Cricetulus griseus: one gene and its partners. The protein of the gene in region 3 purifies or fractionates together with the protein of the main gene of each other region. This does not show direct contact. Links are inferred from orthologs where the notes say so. Each region holds a gene or a part of one and is shown on either strand. Other genes may lie near its edges.

Evidence for each region.
Region 1: the proteins of Npc1 (region 3) and Pon2 purify together in Homo sapiens (affinity purification with mass spectrometry; 3 studies listed by BioGRID and IntAct, with this or other methods). This does not show direct contact. The link is inferred for Cricetulus griseus from reciprocal best matches to the Homo sapiens genes NPC1 and PON2.
Region 2: the proteins of Npc1 (region 3) and Sigmar1 purify together in Homo sapiens (affinity purification with mass spectrometry; 3 studies listed by BioGRID and IntAct, with this or other methods). This does not show direct contact. The link is inferred for Cricetulus griseus from reciprocal best matches to the Homo sapiens genes NPC1 and SIGMAR1.

Annotation. Positions count from the first base shown.
Region 1 is NW_023276806.1:219,552,874-219,559,788, forward strand, and holds the start of Pon2 (serum paraoxonase/arylesterase 2), read left to right. Parts: upstream 1-3,153; 5' UTR 3,154-3,227; coding exon 3,228-3,301; intron 3,302-6,915. UniProt on the Homo sapiens protein: Capable of hydrolyzing lactones and a number of aromatic carboxylic acid esters. Has antioxidant activity. Is not associated with high density lipoprotein.
Region 2 is NC_048595.1:100,860,063-100,866,970, forward strand, and holds Sigmar1 (sigma non-opioid intracellular receptor 1), read left to right. Parts: upstream 1-3,116; 5' UTR 3,117-3,203; coding exon 3,204-3,354; intron 3,355-3,517; coding exon 3,518-3,718; intron 3,719-3,850; coding exon 3,851-3,943; intron 3,944-5,042; coding exon 5,043-5,269; coding exon of another isoform or gene 5,270-5,381; 3' UTR 5,382-6,109; downstream 6,110-6,908. Other genes in the region: Galt (galactose-1-phosphate uridylyltransferase), read right to left, coding at 2,867-2,896. UniProt on the Homo sapiens protein: Functions in lipid transport from the endoplasmic reticulum and is involved in a wide array of cellular functions probably through regulation of the biogenesis of lipid microdomains at the plasma membrane.
Region 3 is NC_048595.1:224,087,068-224,093,778, forward strand, and holds the start of Npc1 (NPC intracellular cholesterol transporter 1 precursor), read left to right. Parts: upstream 1-2,368; 5' UTR 2,369-2,416; coding exon 2,417-2,473; intron 2,474-6,711. UniProt on the Homo sapiens protein: Intracellular cholesterol transporter which acts in concert with NPC2 and plays an important role in the egress of cholesterol from the endosomal/lysosomal compartment.

The DNA of each region.
Region 1 (6,915 bases), on a different chromosome or scaffold from region 3:
GCATTTGTGTGTGGAGAAGCTGGGTTTCTGATGTCCAAACCAAAGAAGAAACATTGTTTATAAGAAATGGTGGCAGTTATGCCCAATGGTTGAGTATAATTGTGGGGACTTCTTCAAGAGACACTGCTTCACCTTGTGACATTCAGAAAGAGTGTGGTGAACAGGACTGTTCACATGAAGATTATAGAATGACGTTGACCTCACCGGCTATGTTAATAGAACCAAAGCATGGTTGGCAGGGAGTGATTCAAGGCTTAAGAGAACCTGCTGCTCTTTCAGAGATCTGGAGCTTGGTCCCAGTGTACACCTTGTATGGCTCACAACCACCTGTAACTAACTTCACTCCAGGGAATCCAATACCCTCTCTGGCCTCCAAGGGCACCTGCACACATGGGTATACAAACACGCAGAAGTAAAGCAAGTCTTTCAAACTAAATAAGTAAAGCATGGTTTCTCCTAGCTCCTCTGAGATGTGTGCTGAAGCCCAGAATGTTGTTCCCAGAGCAACAAGTCATCAATGGGTGGCCATGCTGACTGAAGTCAGCCAGCGAATTCTTGTTCCCCAGCTGTTGTCCAGAAACACTGTGGGCAAGTCTGAGCTTGGTGATAAATACTCTAAGGACCAACTTATTGGGATCTTCCTAGACCTTAAGAATAGCACAGAATTAGGTAAACTTCATGCTCTGTGACTTCATTTTAGGGCATGTGGGAAGAGGCACTGCCTGAGTCTTGCCTCCCAGTACACTACGGATGCTTAGGTACCTCCCCACACCTACACCCCCATCCCCGCACCCCAGACTACCCAGGAATCCTTGAACAAATTCTCAGACTTAAGCCAGGGGCTTAGGTAATAGCTCCACACCTTTCTAAGTACTGATCTTCTGTGCTGATTCATGTCACAGATAGTAGAATTCCATACCTGTCTATCCAGTCAGTCATGTCTCAAACTAGATTTCTTCACTTAAGAGGTCCCTGGACAATATAGAAGGATCTGAAGGTGTATTTTAGAGTCAGGATGCTTGTGAAGGGAAGAAAAACACAAGGAAGGTAGGGAGGAAGATAGGAAGGAAGGAAGGAAGGAAGGAAGGAAGGGAGGAAGGAAGGAAGGAAGGAAGGAAGTTCAGATCTGTTGATAATTTTGGATGAAGGAGAAAAAAACTACCTGATTACAGAAGAAATTTTGTAATTTTTTTTTATTTATGAAGGTAAGAAAGCATTAATGAAACCTTGTTACCAAAGGAAGTAATAGCTTCACAGTTAATTATAGTTGTTACATTGTATTTAAATAACAAGATGATCCTCATTTGAGTTTTTTTCTAGTCTAGACTAGTTTCAAACACAAAATGCAGCAGTCTCTGCCTTAGCCTCATGGGGAGACTGAACTTTGCACTTGGTCCCCAACCCTTGCCCTTTGTCTTCATTTGAAAGAATGTTTCTAGAGCTTTTTTATTTGATGTGTTAAAGATCACACCTAACACATGGGTGCCATTAAGGAAGGGCACAAAATGGTCCCTGTGCCAGGGTGTGAGGGGTGTGGCATTACTATATTTCTGTGGCAGGAACGCATTTTTCAAACACTTCAACAATCACATTTGAATGTAGTTGGTTCCTCTGGAAACCCCATGCATCTAATCCTGTGCACTAGCAAATGTTATTTTGCAAAGGTGCCTGGATTGGAGAGTGCATCAAAGATACAGCCTCTGGGACTTAGAAAGGACAGTTGTTCAGCTCTCCATCAGCCATTAGATACAACCCAGGGTCCCTTTGGGCTGGTCACAGATGTGTGGAGCACAGAGATCTTTTTTTCCCCTTTGGTAAGGGGCCAGGTACAAACTGGCACCTGCTTTTCCTCAAGGGTTGGTTACAAGACAGAAGTTTGGCCTGATGTGGCAGCATATGCTGGTAACCCTCTTGAGGGTAAGACAAGAAAGCCTCAAATTCAAGGTCAGCCTAGGCTACAACAATAGAACACTGTCAAAGAATGATGTTCCTTAAGAATCCACTGATTTTTAACTTCTATATTGCAGGTGAGAGTTAAAACCTGGAAACAAGTGGAAACTCACTTCAGATTATCGAAGTTACAGTCAGCAGCTGTTGTAATCTCATTGAGTGAGCTCCCTCTTTATATATTTTTATTCCTTCACAAGTATCAAATATAAGTGTATATAAATATAAGAATTAAAATGAAAAGGGAGGAAGGAGGGAAAATTTACTAATACTCCAATGAATTCTGAGTTTAAGGGATTTTAGTCTAAAATAAATCTTAATAGAAAAGAGTGCAATTCCACTTCTAAGTTTGTGTAAGGCCTGTCCACAACTGTTTTTTTCTTTTTTTCTCTTTTTTCAAATAAGAAAAAAATAAAAAGAGGAAAGGAATATTGAAACATCATAGCTGGAGAGATGGCTGAGCATTAAGAAGACTCGCTAAACTTCCGGGGGTATTGGACACCCTTTTCTGACCTCTGTAGACAGCAGGCATGGATGTGGTACATATACACACATGCAAAGAAAACACCCATGCATATGAAATAAAAATTCTAAACCAAAGCATATTAGTCTAGGGAGGGCCATGAGGGGCCCACGCACTTGGCATATGGAGTATCAGAAGTTCACTGACTGCCAGCCTGGACTACGTGAGACCTGGTTTTAAAAACAAAAAGAAAGAAAAAAAAGTATAATTTTAATATATATGGTATACTTTATATATAATGTTTAATATTAAATAACTACATTTTCTACACTGTTTAATATTAAATAACATGAATATACTACACAGAAATCCCACAACAAAACTACTCTATGGTTGTCGGTGTGGCTCAGTATTTGCCTAATACGGACAAGGGTAAGGGTTTGATTCCTAGCTTCTCAAAACCAAAAATAAATAAAAAGAGAGGGGAAAATCCCCCCAAACACCAAAACAAAACAACCAAAGCAGAGCCCAAATTTGACTAAAGAAGCAGACTCCACAGAGGTCACTCCAAAGTTTCTCAAGGCGATGAGCAGGTGCAGCAGCGCGTGGGGCGTTTTGAAAGCAGGCAGCTCAGTCGGGTTCCCACGCGGCCATGTGCGGCTGTGCTCCGAGGCCGCGGCGCCGGGCGGAGTCTGGGCTGCAGAGCCGGCGCTCTGGGCGGGGAGCAGGCGCGGCCCTGCGCTCGGGGCGGGGAGCTGGCCCAGCGTCCCGTGCAGCCCGGCCAGGCCGGAGCCAGACGGCGGGCGGGTCCCGCGCCATGGGGCGACTGGTGGCACTGAGTTTGCTGGGCATCGGGCTGGCACTGCTGGGCGAGCGGTTCCTGGCGCTCAGGTAGGTGCTGCCGAGGACCCCGGGTCGAAGATCCTCAGGCTGGGATGGCCCAGCTGCTTGGGGCGGGGGGGTAGAGGTGGAGGGGGGCGCACTGGAGCTAGAGCTCATGTAGCTCAGGGGACCAGGCCGAGGGAAGAACTTTGGATCATCACCGGTGTCCCATTCAGCTGGCCCAGTCCACCGCCATCACGACCTAGTCACTTTGTAAAAAGTTTTTCCCAGCCTGGGCTGGTGACGAGGTTCTTCTGCCTAGGCGGACAAGAGAGAGCTTTGCAAATTTCCCTAGGGCCAAACCCAGTGCTTTAATTTGAAAACAAAACCATTACTCATGCGTGGGTGCTCTAATTACACAGCTTTATTGCAGGTCACTGGTGCTGTTCTCCACAGCCGGAACCCAAGCCTCTCCAATATAATAGTTGGGGAAACTTCGGTGCTCCAGTCTTGGTTCTGGAGATCAAAGAAGACAGACAGCTACTGTTCTTACATCATTTCCTTATTTATTCACCAGAGCTCCAGGAGCAGAACGAGCGATGGTCAGATTTTAACTACAGAGAAAACCTTCTGGGTAGACATCAGGCTTTCAAGTTACCAATTCAAAGGGTATAAGCCTCTTGCAAAAGAGTTCCAGAACATTTGAGTGCCTACAAGGTAGTAGGGACATGTTTGCCCCAGGTTCCTGTAGAGAACTGGGAACCCTAAATGAAGTCCAGATTTGTTTTGTTTTGTTTTTAAATTTAAATTAGAAACAAGCTTGTTTTATTGTCAATCTCAGATCCCTCTCCCTCCCCTCCTCCCCTCCCCCATCCCCTTTCTGCTCCCCAGAGAGGGTGAGGTCTTCCCTGGGGGATCAATGAAGTCCTTTTTGATACAGGAGAAAAATATGGGAACTGGATATCCAAAACAGGAAAATGGAATCCTTATAGAGTTAAAGAGAAAAGAAGCCGCCCTCTGAAGGTGTTCTGGAAGGAGGAGCAATCTGACAGCTGGGGGGTGGAGAGAAGCATGAAGCTGACCATCCCCTGTGGCAAGTGTAGTGCCAGCAAAGAGGCCACGTTGGGGAAAGTTACGAACAGCAACTGGAGGACAGGGCTTGCCATGTGTCTGAGGCTTCGAAGTTGGGCTCTCTCTGATAGGCAAAAGGGGAGTGTTAGTGTTTATTGGTTGTTTAGCATCCCGCTGATCTAAGGAGTCTTGTACTATACAAAATAGTGTATAAGGACAGAGCAGTAGTGGCCTCATTAAAGGATCTCCTGGAACCCTGGTATCCAAGTGGCACCATGTGACAAATTCTAATTTAATTGGTCGGGGTGGGGCTAGGACTTCAGTTTTTGGTTTGCATATATATATATATATATATAATATATATATATATATATATAATTCTTGGTTTTGAGATGAAGTCTCACGCTACATCCGCTATATCCTCTGTTTTGAAGCTCAGTCTAGTCTTGAAACTCTGGATTCTTGGTCTCCCAACTTGCTGCTATTACAGGCACACACCACCACGATGTACAGGATTTTCTTTTTCCTTTAATATTTGCTCTTTCCTAAAGACCTGTAGTGTAGCTCAGTGATAGATCGTTGCTCAGCATGCTTGAAGCTTGGGGTTCCAGCCCCAGCACCACGCTACAAAATCAAAACACAGACCACACACATCTCTCTCTTGGTAATTCTTGTGTATACTATGCATCATCAGCGTTGAGAGCTACTGGACTGGATGTGGGGAAAACAGAGCATCACAGAGGGTTGGAAATGATAAAGGAGACCCAGACTGCATCCCCAGGAATGAGAGACAAGGCCGAAGTGAAAGTGTGGCTTGCAAGATAATTCCAGGGTCCCATAGCTGCAGCCTCACTTGGTGCTAAGACACCAAGTGTGGGGGTAGGAGCATTGGAACAAGGAGGAACGCTTAAGCCTGTGGTAGGGAATGCCAAGGCCAATGTAATGGCTCTGCAGAACGTTCATGCATTAGATGGGTTTGGGCCATGTTTTGTTTTTGATGGATATACAATAAGTGTACATATTTATGGGCTCCCAGACCTATAATGATTAGCACAGCCATCACCGTAAGCACTTGCCCTATTTTTTTTTTTCAGATGAGAATAGGAAAAAGCCTTTCTTCCTAGTTCGAAGTACACACTATTGTATAGTCACTGCCCTGCTGAAGACAACAGCAGAACCCACTTTAAAGGTCTACCACACTGCCCTTTCCCCTTTCTCTGTGGCTGGCCCTTAGGGACTTTCCATTTGGGAGCTGTAGTGTATAGTGCAAAGAAACTATCCAAATGCAAGCATCTCTTCAGCAGGGGTTTCATTCCCTTTGGCTATATATCCAGTGTTGACATGGCTAGAATCTATATGGTACTTCTACTTCAACACATTTTAAGGCATCTCCATATTGTTTTCACAATGGCATAGCATTTTACATCATCACCCAGACTTTTAAAAAGGCTCTCTTTCTGAAAAGGGCATGTGGCTCAATGGGAGAGTACCAGCCTATATGGGACCATGCATTCAACCTCCAGTATAGACAGAGACGTGCTCACTGTTGCTCTGTCTCTTTTTGGCAGCTCTCATTCTGACTAGAGTGAGATAGTATCTCTTGGAGAGCTTGAATTGCTTTCCCCTGATGACTGGTGAAGCTGGTTATTTCTTCATAAGCACTTTGGCCATCGTTTGTCTTCTAAGAAATTCTACTGAGGGCTTTTGCTTATTTGGGTTTCAGTTTATTCTCTTGTTTTGTTTTGCTAATGAGTTATGCAAGTTTCTTACAGGTTTTGACTACTATGGAGTGTATCGCAAATGTATCCTCCCATTCTGTGGGCTGTTTCTGAAATCTGTTGGTTGGTTGTTTCATTCAATGGAAGCTTTCCAGTTTGATGTAGTCTCCTGTTTTGGTTTCCTGTGCTTTTGAGGTCTTAGGGATTAAGTGACTTTGTGCATTCAGTATTAAGGAGACACAAAAATTCCTGGGCTCATCCAGTGGTCACTAACGGTTAAATCATTAGTGTTTCCACAAGCTGAGTTTTGCTCAGTCGATAGTTAACTTTTCCCCTTTCTTACTAACCTTCAAGTCCAAAGTTTAAGACCCTCTGAGTGACCAGTATAGTTTCAAATTTAAGAAAAGTAAGCATAGATGAGAACCCATGTGGCTGGAGGGATCACTAGTGCTGAGAGCTTGTGGTACAAAGAACTCACGTAAAAATCAGACAGGGCCATGCATGCCTGTAACCCAGGCTGTCTCTAGGTGATAAGGTGGATGCAAACCCAGGGTCCTAATCTGATTTCTACATGTATGTACATGTGTGCATGCATCCCATCAACAAACACACTACACCACACCCACACACACCACACCCACACGCCCACACACACTCAGTGAATTCAGAGGGTAGGTAGTTTACAGCTTGGTGCGAACTCTCTTTACAAATCCCTGACCGAGGTAAACTTTGATGAGCAATGATTTTGTAGCTGGTGACTTGGTGACTTTATTGGATAGTTGAAGCCCCAGAGAGGCTGATGTAAGAATGTGTGTGTGTGTGTGTGTGGGGTCAGTGTTAGATTGTTCCCAACCCCCCAAAACAATCATGTTTACCAGTTACATTTGAGTTTAG
Region 2 (6,908 bases), about 120 Mb from region 3:
GGGACTTGCTTTCTACCCTTCCAGCTGTCTTTCAGTGACTCGATTGTGGTACAGGAACACCAGTGCTTCAATGTCACTCCCTAGATCATGCCAACTGACTCTTGACACCCTTCAGGAACATCTTCGTGCCTCTCATTTCTCTGTCTTTCCAGATCCCTTTTGTAGGGGGAAGAGGACAATGGTCTATATAGGGTCTATCTGTTCCTCTCTCTTCCAGATCCCAGATACAAGATCTCTGCTGTGACATTAAGGGAATATGGCTGTCATTCGCATCCCCTTGGATGCGACAGCTTGGAGTCACTCAAAGGCTTAGGATCTTTTTTTTTTTTTTTAAAGGACTAGGTTGGAGGAGGTTTCTGAAAGACCAGAGAGGGAAGTTGCAAGCCTGATGGTCTCAGAAAATGTTTCTGCCTGGAGTAAGGGCAGAAGCCTGCTATAGAAGGGCCCTCTGAGCTCTGGGTATTGCTTGGCAGGGAGGTGGGGGTTGTTACAGCAACTAAGATGGTAAATGAGAACAGATTTGTTAGAGTGGCTTACAGGCTGTGGTCCAGCTAGTCTAACAGTGGCTATCTAGGTCCAAGAACCCAGTAGTTGTTCAGTCCACCACAGGGCTGGCTGTCTCAGTTGGTCTTCAATATACTCTGGAATCCAAAGAAGTAGGCTCTAATGCCAGTGAAGGAATGGATTTGCCATCGAAGGTGAGAGCAGGCAGGCAAAGAGAGAGCAAGCTTCCTACCTTCATGTTGTTTATATATGCTGCAAGCAGAAGGAGTGGTCCAGATTAATGGTGTATCTTCCTACCTCAAAGATCCCGATCGGAAGTAGGTCTTCCCACTACAACTGATTTAATTAATAATAATAATAAATCCCACATAGGTGTGCCCAGTCATTTGGGTTTTAGTTAATTCCACAGGTAGTCAAGTTGACAACCAAAAATAGCCATCACAATAGGTGTTTTGTATCCTAGGATTGAAACCTTCCATCCTGCAGGAAGCTCCTTAAGGAGGAAGGTAAACAACTCAAAACAACTGCTTCATGAAGTCCCTAAAACCCACCAGATTCACTAGGCTCCTCCCTGCCAGAGTAAGCAGTAAAAGCTGGGAATCCCTCTCAGACACAATGAAGCTGAGCTGTAAAGAAATCTCTCAGGAGCAGACTAGTTCCCTGGCAGAAGCAGAAACGAGCCAAGCTGCCTAGAAGAGGTTTGGATCAACTGAATCAGTTGGAAAAGGCACTCAACTCCAACCTGTTGAACCATCTGCAGGCTGTACACTGTGCTTCAGGTTCCTAGCTTTTGTGAGTTGTCAGCAATGCTGGAGTGGGCTTTGGTGATGCAGCTGCTGTCTTTTAGTCATTTTTGCTCCCATAAGTTACCCCCTAAAACTCACTGGGCCACCAAATTGGATTTTTGTGGTATTTGTACTTTGGTCTGCTGTGGATTCCCTATCTGGTGTGAGCAGACTTGTGTCTTGCGTCTCCTGAAGAAACATTTTGTCACACAACAATAGGACTTCTGTAACTGGCCAAAGGTTAAAAAAGGGGGGGGGGATAGAATTTCACATTATTATTTTTTTATTTTTATGTGTATTGGTGTTTTACCTGCATGTATGTCAGTGTACTATGTGTGTGCAGTTCCCACAGAGGTCAGAGGAGTCGGCTCCACTGGAACTGGAGTTACAAACACTTGTGAGCCACCTTGTACGTGCTGGAAATCAAACCAGGGTCCTCTGGAAGATCAGCAGTGTTACCAATGAGGCATCTCTCCAGCCCAAGATTTCACATTGTTTTAGAAGCTAGATCTGGAAATGTCACACAGCACTTCTGCTTCCATTACACTGCCCTTGGCACAAGGCCCTACCTGACCATCGCTCAAGAGCAAAAGGAAATGTCCTTGCCACATACTCTCAGACTCCCTCAGTTACATTTAACTACAGTGATCCTTCATCCCATCACTTCTGTGTATAAGGCTAGTTTCTTCTAGTTGCTTACGGGTTTTGTTGCTGTTCTTGTTGTTGCTTTAGACATGGTCTTCTGTGACCTGTGCTGACTGTGTTGCTAAGGGTGACCCTGAACAACTAACTGTTCCTTGTGCCTTTACTTCTCAAGTTCTAGAATAACAGGTGTGTGGCACTACGCTCAGCTTTATGTTGTCTTCTTCCAACTAACATACATAACCTTAACCATGTGCCAGGCACTAGCTACTTTAAAATAGTAATTCACTTAATAATTGGCATAATAAAGGTATGTACTATGAAGCAGATACTTATTTATTTATTTATTCTATGTTACAGATAAAGCTGTCAATGTATGCTCTTAAATGCTGAGACCTGTCAGCAGCACCCAGAGTTAGCACTGAAACAAGATCTCACTAGGTAGCACTGACATAGATGGGCTCTCTTACTTGTACCCTAGTTCAATTTTGCTCCCCTCCAAATGGAACCCAGTACCATTCTGTGGCAATAGCGAATCCCATGGTTCCCTAGTTAATAAACCTATTGGCCTTTCACATTTTTGTGCTTCAGAACATAAGGTGAAGTGTAGGCTCAGAGAAAACAAGCATGGTGGTGCTCGTCTTTAATCCCATCACTGGAAAGGCAGAGGCAGAAGGCTCTCGGTGAGTTTGAGGTCAGCCTAGACTACATAGCGAGTTCCAGGCCAGCTAAGGCTACATCGTAAGACCCTGTCTACATATATGTCTCGCCTTTTCGCTCTTTGACTATTGGAATGATTCCCATCAGCTGCAATGTCCTTCTCTCTTCTAAACACTTCAGATGTCACCACTCCTGGAAGGCCTTTCCCAGTGGCACTATGTGCTCCCTGCTTCTTTGCTAGCAATCACGAGTCCTAGAAAGCTTTGTCTACTTACGGGATCGCCAGCCCAGGTGGGTGAGTCCATTCTGGGACTTCCCGCAGCTATCCCCAACAGAGTTTAGTGTTAGGACACCAGGACTGAACACTTTGGGGGCGGCTCGGCCCCGCCCCCTCACCGCCCGTGTGAATCGCGCCACCCAACCTTTGCTCTACCCGTCATAAAATGGTTCAATCCAGAGGGCGGTGCCAAGTGCCCCGAACGTTCCGATTGGCTCGGGCGAGCCGTACCATGGTGGCGGGGGCGACCGTGGGCAGCGGCTTTTGAGTCTGTATGAGGATAAGCTGAGGCCCTAGCTCTCCCCTGTGCTGGTGGTGCCCGGCTGCCCGCCGTGATGCAGTGGTCCTTGGGCCGGCGGTGGGCATGGATCGCCCTATTTCTGGCTGTTGCCGCGGTGCTGACCCAGGCGGTGTGGCTGTGGCTGGGTACTCAGAACTTCGTCTTCCAGCAAGAAGAGATAGCGCAGCTTGCTCGACAGTACGCTGGTGAGCGGGTGAACGGGTGAGCGGGTGAGCGGGTGAGCGGGTGAGGGCGGGTAGCAAGATGGGCCGGCACAGAGCGGAACGGAGCTGCGTTTCCCGAGGGCGCCTTCCCCGCCGAGCCTCAATCCGGGGCAGGTCTCACCCACGCCACTCCTCTTTGCATCAGGACTGGACCATGAGCTGGCCTTCTCTCGGCTGATCGTGGAGCTGCGGAGGCTGCACCCAGGCCACGTGCTGCCGGATGAGGAGCTGCAGTGGGTGTTTGTGAACGCCGGCGGCTGGATGGGCGCCATGTGTCTTCTGCACGCCTCGCTGTCTGAGTACGTGCTGCTCTTCGGCACCGCCCTGGGCTCCCGTGGCCATTCGGGTCAGTGCTGGCGGTAGGCCGGATTGGGAGGCTGGGACTGTTCGAGGTCGGATGCCTCCATTCTGAGGTTTGGTTGGGCCGTGTGTTGACAAGGATACTCTGATGGGCGGTGTCTGTTTTATTGTCACTCAGGGCGATATTGGGCTGAGATTTCTGACACCATCATCTCTGGCACTTTCCACCAGTGGAGAGAGGGCACCACGAAAAGTGAAGTCTTCTACCCAGGTGAGTAAGGAAGTTATGTCCGAGTGGGCGCCCTCTAGCTGGGGACAGGCCTAAGGCAAGGAAAGAGCCTATCAAAAAGGCCTACCCAGTGATTTCCTTCTGTCCCCTAAACCACAGGTGTTTGGTTAGGTTGGAGCTGAGGAACTCTTTCGCTTTCATTTGTTAAAGGGAAACAAAACACGGCAGTTTCCCATCATAGGGGGCTGATTTTTATCAGCCTGTTTTACCCAGCCATTATTCCAGCAATTATTTGGTAGATAATCATACCTGAAAGTTAAGACAGACATTTCATTTCCCATCCTTTTTAAACTAGTGAGACAGTTTGGGAGTTTTGTTGTTGTTTTTCAACCTTTTTTTTTTTTTTTTTTTTCGAAGCAGGGTTTCTCTGTGTAACAGCCCTGGCTGTCTTGGAACTCGCTCTGTATACAGACCAGGCTGGCCTTGAACTCACAGAGATCTGCCTGCCTCTGCCATTCCCAGCACTCGGGAGCAGAGGCAGGCAGATCTCTGTGAGTTCAAGGCCAGCCTGGACTACAGAGTGAGTGCCAGGATAGGCTCCAAAGCTACACAGAGAAACCCTGTCTCGAAAAACCAAAAAAATAAATAAAATAAAATAAAAGCATGTGCCACCACCAACCAGCACGCCTATTGTTTTTTAATTGGACCTCTGCATCCATTTAAAAGAAAAAGTTTGGACTTGGTGGTGTAAGGATAATCGTCAGAAAAGCCTGGCAAGCCTTGTAGCTGTCATACTAGCCCAGCTCGGTTAGCAACATTTCCACTTGATACGAGTGAAACATGAGAATGCAGGTGCCCATTGCTTCCATATATTAGACTGTAGCTGGGTGGGGGTTGCCCTCCATAGTCTCCCCCAAGAGAGGACATGGGCCAGGCGATGTCATAGGATATTTAGGAGTGGGCGTTTTGGTCTCTATTTCCCCTCTGATTGGCAGCCAGACCAATGGGGTGGAGTTTCTTCCTTTCTTGAAACTGTGTTTTCATTCTCCACCTCTGCAAAGATAGTGCAAAGGCTAGGGAAACGCAGTTATAGAAGGGCATCCCTGGGCTTCTCACGACATGCTTCTTGTCTAACCCCAAGGAGAGACAGTTGTACACGGACCTGGAGAGGCAACGGCTGTGGAGTGGGGACCAAACACGTGGATGGTGGAGTACGGCCGAGGTGTCATTCCATCTACCTTGGCATTTGCACTGGCTGACACTGTCTTCAGCACCCAGGACTTCCTCACCCTCTTCTATACCCTTCGCTCCTATGCCCGGGGCCTCCGGCTTGAGCTCACCACCTACCTCTTTGGCCAAGACCCCTGACCAGCCAGGCCTGAAGGAAGACCTGTGGATGGACAGGAGTGGGCAGGACCACATTCATCTACTTGCTGGAACTCATATGCACAGACAGCACCATACACCATGCAGATATTAAGTTCCTACTGTATGAGGAAGGTCATACATAGTTACACATCCAGACACAGCCCTTTGGGAGCCAGTGAGACACATAGAGATGCTAAGATTTGTATGTACTGTAAGGTCATGTACTCATATCCATCCAGAGAGGGCCCCTACATATATAAGAAGGGGGCCAGTCATGTTTGAACATCTATCACAAGCTTGACTCACTGACTCAGGCCTTTCCAGAGCTTGCTGCTGGCATTCAGGGCTCTGGGATTAAGGATTGGGGTGGATGTTTCATTCTGCCTGATACTCTGATACTACAGTAGGAATCTCAGTAAAGGAAAAGTGGAACTGCCCTTGGGAGGCCCCCTTCACCTGCTGCCATGATGTCCTTCCCTTCATCTCCCTTTTCCTCACCATATGCCTTATCTCCATTCCACCTCCTGCTATGCAAGTGCCCCTGTGGCTTATCCTCCCTGCCCTCAGCAACCAACTCAGCTGGGAAAGCAGAGAAATGTGTAGAAGGCTAAAGGGAGTGTCTTCCATCTCAGAGACCCCTGTTGGGGGTATGATGAGAATTCTGGCTTAAGCCCAGGCCTGTCCTCAAGGAAAGGGCCTGGAGAAGGAATCTTGGGTCCAAGGAGCCACCCCAGTCCAAAGGAAGCCCTTATGTGCACACCCCTCTGTTTCCAGACATTTCTGTTGCATTATCTGTCTACCTGTCGGTCTCTGGTAATAAAAACTTGTTAAACAGTTCCATTTCCTTGTGTGTGTGAACAGTAGAAAGGCTGCTGCCTCCTGGGCACTTCAAAAGGCCCTACAATCCAGTATGTAAGACCAGTTTTGGACAGAAGGGGCTATATATTTGAATGTGTTTAAGAATTACTTAGGAGGCTGGGCAGGCATGGTGGCGCATGCCTTTAATCCCAGCACTTGGGAGGCAGAGGAAGGCAGATCTCAGTGAGTTCAAGGCCAGTCTGGTCTACAGAGCAAGTTCCAGGGCTGCTACACAGAGAAACCCTGTCTTGAAAAACCAAGCAAATAAAAATTAAGTAGGAATTACTTAGGAGACAGTCTTTCTAGGGGTGGTGGTGTTGGAGCAAGGCCTCCCTTTACAGCCTTGGCTGTCCCAGAACTTATAGATATCTGTCTGCCATTGTCTTCTGAGTGCTGGGACTAAAGGTGAACACCACCACATACAGCTTTTTTAAATCTAAGAATGGCATTGAATTTACTTTACGAAGCTGAAATCAAACTTGAACTTCTGATCATCCTGCCTCTGCTTCCTAGGGCTGAGGATTAGGGCCAGAGCTTTGTGCATGCCTGGCAAGTGTGGTTTTAACCACAACCCTAGAAGGCTCCTGAGTCTCCAGCTGACTGGATTGCATCTATAGAGATCAGTTTTAAAATATGAGGAATTGAGCAGTGTGAGGTACTGTGTCTACTCTGCCAGTTCAGTCCTGGTTCTGAGAAATTAGCCATACATGGCCATGGGGTGGCACTATACTCCCACGTTTGAGCTGAAAAGCAGTCTAGGCTGGCTTTGGGGCCTCCCAGA
Region 3 (6,711 bases):
CAGCCTAGCCTAATTGGTGAGCCCCAGACACTCAGCTCCAGGTGAGAAACTCTGTCCCAAAAAACAAGGTGGGGTCTGGACAGCACTTGCTCTTCTTGAAGAAGGTTGAAGTTCAGCTTCCAGTGCCTATTTTGGACAGTTCACAACCACCTGTATATCCAGCTACAGGGCATCTGGTAGCCCCTTATGGCCTCTATAGGAATCTGTATTCATGTACAATACCCATACCCATAAGCATATGCATTGTAAAAATAATCTTTAAAAGGAAAGGGACTAGCTCAGTGGATAAGAGTACTTGCTGTTCTTCCAGAGGACCTGAGTTTGGTTCCCAGCACCCACATGGTGGCTCACAGATGTCTATAACTCCAGTTCTATGGGATCCAATGTCCTCTTCTGACCTCCATGGGTACCAGACACTCACATGGGGCACAGATATACATGCAGGCAAAACACCCAAACACAGGAAATTAAAATTAATAAATCTTTTTAAAAGAAACACAAGATGAATTGCACTTGAGGAACACCTGGCCTCCATACACACATATGTGCGTGAACACAAGAACACACATGTATACATATATATACATATATATATACATATGTGTGTGTGTGTGTGTGTGTATCTGCCAACTAAATAGAATTTTATCTTGGGTCAATTTGTGTGTGCTTGAGCACGCATGCATACACACACACACACACACACACACACACACACACACACACACACAGGAATGACCATGGCCCAGGAACACAGGTTCAGGTGCCTCAAATACCATGTGCCAATGTGGTAGCGGTTCCACAAAGTACAAAGAAAATAGTAAAGGAACATTTTAAAGAGGTTGGTGGAAGCATCAGATAGATAAATTACAGCAAAGCCAGGAAGCCTCTGTGTATCGTCTCAGATATCATCTCTTGATGTTCTCTTGATGTTTTTAGCCGTTGGATTGATTGCAGACAGAGGACTTACTATACATTTCAAAGGGATTTACCTGATAGTCACAAGGACATTAGGTCAAACACACGGGTGGGTGATACAGGAATAGGGAGCCTGAAATAATTTGACTATGGACCTGCAACGTTCTAGCTCTGGATGAACACAGAAGTTCTAGAAGTTCTAAGCAGTCAATCAGCCTTGCAGAATGTCTGAAATGGGTGAGGCTTCTTTCCGGAAACTTTTGTTCATCTCTCTCTCTCTCTCTCTCTCTGGAAAATCATCATAGCTTTTAGGCTTTTGTAACGCAGTACCATAGGGAAACCAAGAGTTCAGGAAGAGTCGAGGCTTTGTGGAATCCAGACAAGTTTGGGAATGTAAGGACGTTTAGGGAAGGAAGTGGTGATGGTGGTATTGAGCAAGCAAAAAGCCTCCGTTTGGGTCTCAACCAAATTAAAATAATTTTCACAAAGAAAAAACTCGTAAAAAGAGAAAATGCAGCACAATGTAACATAGGCTGTCCGTCGTGGTGGAATTATAAGTGATTTTTTTTCAATTGTCTCTAAATTATTGTGTATTTTGTATTTCTGCCATAAACATGGGCTCACTGCTAGACACGCCTCGGCCGGTAGGTGGCGCTGTGTATTGCGTTCTCAAAACTGGTCTGAGCAGTAAACAGATCTGTCATGGGAAGCGCGGCTACACTGAGTTGTCAGATCACAATAGGGTCAGGCCACGGTCGTCACCGCCCCGAGCGGGATAGAAGATGTTCCAGCACCGATCCTCTTTGGGTAGTTGGGATTGGGAGAGTTGATCAGAGTACTTATCGGGGCCTAAAGAAACAAAGGCTGAAGTCTGTTACACAGAGAAACCCTGTCTCGAAAAACCAAAAATAAATAAATATAAAAGAAACAGGGGATGAAATGTCCCAGTGTTCTGGGTTCTTAATTAGGAAAATTGCCTCGAAGTACTACGCGCTAAAACCTCGCCCAACCTCTCCAACCCAGAGAGAGAAGGGGGAGCAGTAAGTTAAAACATCAAAGTCAGACGTTATTGGAGTAAGCCCAGAGTACCATCCAAAGATGCGTGTTTCTCAAGTGTGAGAGATCCCATCCGAGGGGCGCGCAGGGATAGGACGGCACAAAAGAGCTGGACTGGTTCCCGGGGAGGCTTTGGCGAGGGGTCCTGAGACCTGCGCTGTAAGACGCCTTCAGGGGGAGCGAGGCCAGCAGGCGGGGCTCCGGCCGGGCTCCGCCCTGCTCGGAGCTCTAAGCCCCGCCCCGAGGGCTTAGCCCCACCCCTTGGGGCTTCGGAGCGGCGGCAGCCCTGACCCCGCCTCCGTGCTTCCTGACTTGCGCGCGCAGCCCGCCGCCTGCGCCAGCACTCTCAGGCGCCGGTCCCGAAACCGCCCAGCCAGTGCGGCGGCGCTCGGGTCGCGGTGGACGGCAAGCAGAACCGCGGTCGGTAGCCCCGCGCGACGACAACATGAGCGCGCGCCACCCGGCCCTCGGCCTCCTCCTGCTGCTGCTGTGCCCTGCGCAGGTGAGCGGCTTCCAGAGACCCGGGCGGGCTGGGCGGGATGCGGCGGGGTGGTGCGGCCGCTCCGGAGACCGCGGGCGCGGGAGCTGGGGGCGCGGGCGCGGGCGCGGGGAAGTTGGTCGGCGGGTGCAGCCGCGGAGGTCGCCTTCTCCAGTGTCTGTCCACCCTCGCGCTGTTCTGTGGTCTGGGAGAAGTGACAGCCGGGGCCGCTGTTTGGCCGGCTTTGAGCCCATTCCAGCTGTGGTCACCTGATTTAGGATGTGGGAATTGGAGGGACAATGGGTGCAGAGGATAGGGACTTTGCTTGTTTTTAGCCATTTTAAACAAAACAAATTCTACATGCACACGAGCTCTTAAGTTTACTTAGCTTCGACTGCATCATTGCCCCTTATCTCCAGACGGTGGAAGCCGAGAACAAAACTCCAGGCACCAGATTGACTCAGCTTGATCTAGTGTGGGTTGCCTCTTTTCACGTTCATTTAACGTCTCAGGAAACTGAGGCCAACAAATACTGTAGGCCCACAATTAGCTAGGGACAGGACGACACCAGGAACAGTGTAGTGACCTCCCTCATCTGGCTTTTCTTGCTGTGGCCAACTTGGGCATGGGTGCGTCGCTATTTGTGTGTCTACAGTTTTCTCATTGGAAACGGTGGGTGTGTGTGTGGTGATGCCTAGGGAAGAGTACTAATTAAACCAAATCAGGATGACTAAGTCAATGGAAATTCTGTGCCCTTGTGCCCACTAACTCCCCTCTGATGGACTTGGATTATGACAAGGGGGTGAATCAGACGAAGGGGTTACCCGGCCTAGGAAACCTATCCTTTGAACTTTAAATCTCTGTGCAGTGCTTAGAGCAGCCTAAAGATGCCAGCCTGGGAGGGCCCAGGAGTCAGGAGTACACATGCAGCTTCCAGGCTGTACCCAAGGTAAGGGAAAGCAAGGAAGACAGTTCAGGGAGCTGTTTGGGACAGGCCAACCCTTGCCAAGTCGGTTTTAGGTGTTTGCCTCAGCCTTGATTTTTTTGAGATGATAAATACCTCATCATTTGTGAAATGAAGTTAGTGTATGGAGAAGCTGTTTCCCTGACTAATGTAGTGCCTTGGAGAAGATGTCAGCAGTTTCTTTTCCTAATCAGCAGACTCCACATTATAAAGTGGTTTAAGCTTATCTCTGCTTTTACCTCAAGGTAGCCTTCAAGGTTGATAAGCAATGGGCTCCTCTCACGTGAAGTAAACCAGAAGTTGATATTCTTGCAAAATGCCTGAGAGTCTTTCCAAAGCCCTCTTGTCTAGAAATGCTCCCATTGTTGTTTTAGAACTCAGCTCCCTGCTATCTAGAGGCTCTGGGGCAGCTGTGGCAGCCATGTGGGTGGGGTATCTGGTTTTAGAACTCATACTGGTCAGTGGCCCTACCTCATCAGGTTGCTTGCAAATTAGAGGCAGTTGTCCTTTAGAAAATCTAAAACACATTTGGAGAGATTTTTGGTTTTCTCTTTAAATTTTTCTATTTACAGATGATGGAATAGTAACATTGCCAACTTGAGTGTTCTCTTTTTCTGTTTGTTTTGGCTTTTTGTGTGTGCCAGGGTTTCTCTGTAAGAGTCCAGGTTCTGACTCTCACTGTGTTGCTCAGGTGTGCCTTGAATTCACTCTGAGCCTGCTTCAGCCCCCTAAGTGCTAGAGTTATAGGCATGAAGCAGCACACCTGGTTTAGACAGCTTGTTTTTAGTGTCTGTATTGCCATGGTGTGCACGTCTTTAATCTGAGCCCTAGGGAGGAAGAGTCAGGCAGATCTCTGTAAGTTTGAGTCCAGCCTGTTCTACCTAGCAAATTCTAAGCCAGCCAGGTAAATGTCGAGACCCTGTCTCAAACAAACAACAACCTACCTGTGTTCATCCAGGTATGAATGCAATTTGGGGCAATAAACTTGTCTTGCCTGGCTGACTTTTTCCCCCTTGAGGAAGTTGGAATGTGTTGAGGTCTGAGTACTCATTAAACACTTAAGTGGCTTTTTCAGGGTTAATAATCTCATGAAATTGGAGTGGCTATGTGTAATCTTCCCCAGCTTCAGTCCATCAGTCAGATTGATGGAGTAAGATTTGATAACATAAATTACGAACTGGAAAAGGAAGGTCTTTTTCCTTTGTTTGCAAGTGGGTAAAGAGTAAAGGGCTTGCTGAATGGAACTTTGTATTTCTCCGAATTTATTATATTACCCAGAACAAAGAGTCCCTCTGTTGAGGGAGGCATGGGCATCCTCTCCTGGCTTAGCTTCCTCAGGCCACTTTTAAAGAGGCACACTGTTTCAAGCATTGCGCATCACCTGCTGGGGAGTCTGAATTAAGCCATCTCAGGTGCCCTTTTCACTGTCGCATGGGGTTCTGCAGAGGGTATCTGCTCTCCAGACAAATCCAACCATTTGCTATCAATACTGCACAGTCTTTGCCCAAGGTCCCTGTTGCCTGGAGCCTTATTGGTGACATTGTGCTGTTCCCCAGCCAGGATGTCCCATGGAAGTTTTTTTTTTTTTTTTTGAAACGTTATTTTTATTTATTTCTTTTTGCGATGTTTTTTTTTTTTTAAAGATTTTATTTATTATGTATACAGTCTTCTGTCTGCATGCCAGCAGAAGGCACCAGATCTCATTCAAGGTGGTTGTGAGTCACCTTGTGGTTGCCAGGAATTGAACTCAGGACCTCTGAAAGAACGGTCAGTGCCCTTAATGGCTGAGCCAACTCTCTGTTTATCCCCCCTCCCCCGTGGAAGTTCTTGATTTTTGCTTAAACTGCTGCAATGGCATTTTCTGTTAACAAAATCTTTGAACTCAAAGACCTGGTTTGGGGGGACATCTTAACTCCATCTCTCCCCACTGGAACTTTAGTTTTCCCCCTGTGAAGTCAAATTAACTGTGCCCACTTTCCAGGGTGTTTGTAAAAGTTATTTGTTTGCTTTGTAACTGAAATGGCAAACTGCAGGCCCCTTGAGGGAAAGAACTATATTTTATATCCATATGGGGCCAGGACTTTTGATGGCTCTTTTTAATCATTAAGTCTCCACGCTTAGAAGTGGATCTTGAAAAGGGACTTAAATATTAGTTGTGATTTAAAAAAAAAAATGTATTTGCTGGAGAGATGGCTCAGCAGTTGGGAGTATTGGCTGCTCTTCCAGAGGACCAGAAGACTACATGGCAGCTCACACCTGTCTATAACTCAAGTTCTAGGGCTTTTGAAACCCTCACACAGACATATGTTATATAAAACACTAATGAACACACACACACACACACACACACACACACACACACACACACACACACACACACAGTATTTGCCATTGATTTCTGGTGACGACTGTGAGTAGCTAGGACTTTCTTTGCCTGCGTGTGGTGGGGGAGGTGAGGATGATGTGCACATGGAGGGCAGAGGTCAAGTGTCTTCCTCGGTCACTGTTGAGACCTGGGCTCACCTCTTCAGCAGACTAGCTAGTCAGCAAGCCCTAGGGACCATCCTCCTGTCTCTGCCTCCTCAGTTCTGGGACTATAAGCATGTACCACAGTGCCTGACTATGGACATTGGTGCTGGACATCCAAATTCTGGTCCTCATGCTTGTGTGCCAAGCACTGATTCACCAACTGAGCCACCTGTGGCAGCTCCCAGCCTATGCCTTTAATCTTAGTCTTTGGAAGATTTGCTTAGGCAACAGAACTTTAAAAAAAAAAAAAAATTCATGGTTTAAACAATAAGTACATGTTTTTAAAATCCTCTCATACAGTGAATACGCTTCTGGGAGGATTTGAAAGACATCTAACACTTTCTCTTTGACCTTTTTACAGTTGTTTCTTTGGTCACAAGAGGAATTCAAATTAATTCCCTCATTATAAATTCAGGGCTGTGGACACAATATAGGATATGAATATCCCAACCCTTTGGGAAAGCAGTGTATGTGCTGTAAAGGGCTGGGTGAATGGCAGCTACTCGCTCTGTCTTGTGCATATTTCCTGGGTAGAATGATAGTGGTGAGAGATGCTGAAGTAAAGAGAAGGACAGACTATTATATTTTTGAGCTGAGCTCTGAGAGTGAATTGTGTGTCAGGTGACCAAGAGGAACTGGGAAGATAGAGAACAGCCATAGAAATGATTCATGGTAGAGGGGATGAAAAGGCTTCACCCTGATAATCATTCCGTGTCATATACTTAGGTTGGATTATACTGTATTCTATAAATATATACAAAAAATGTAG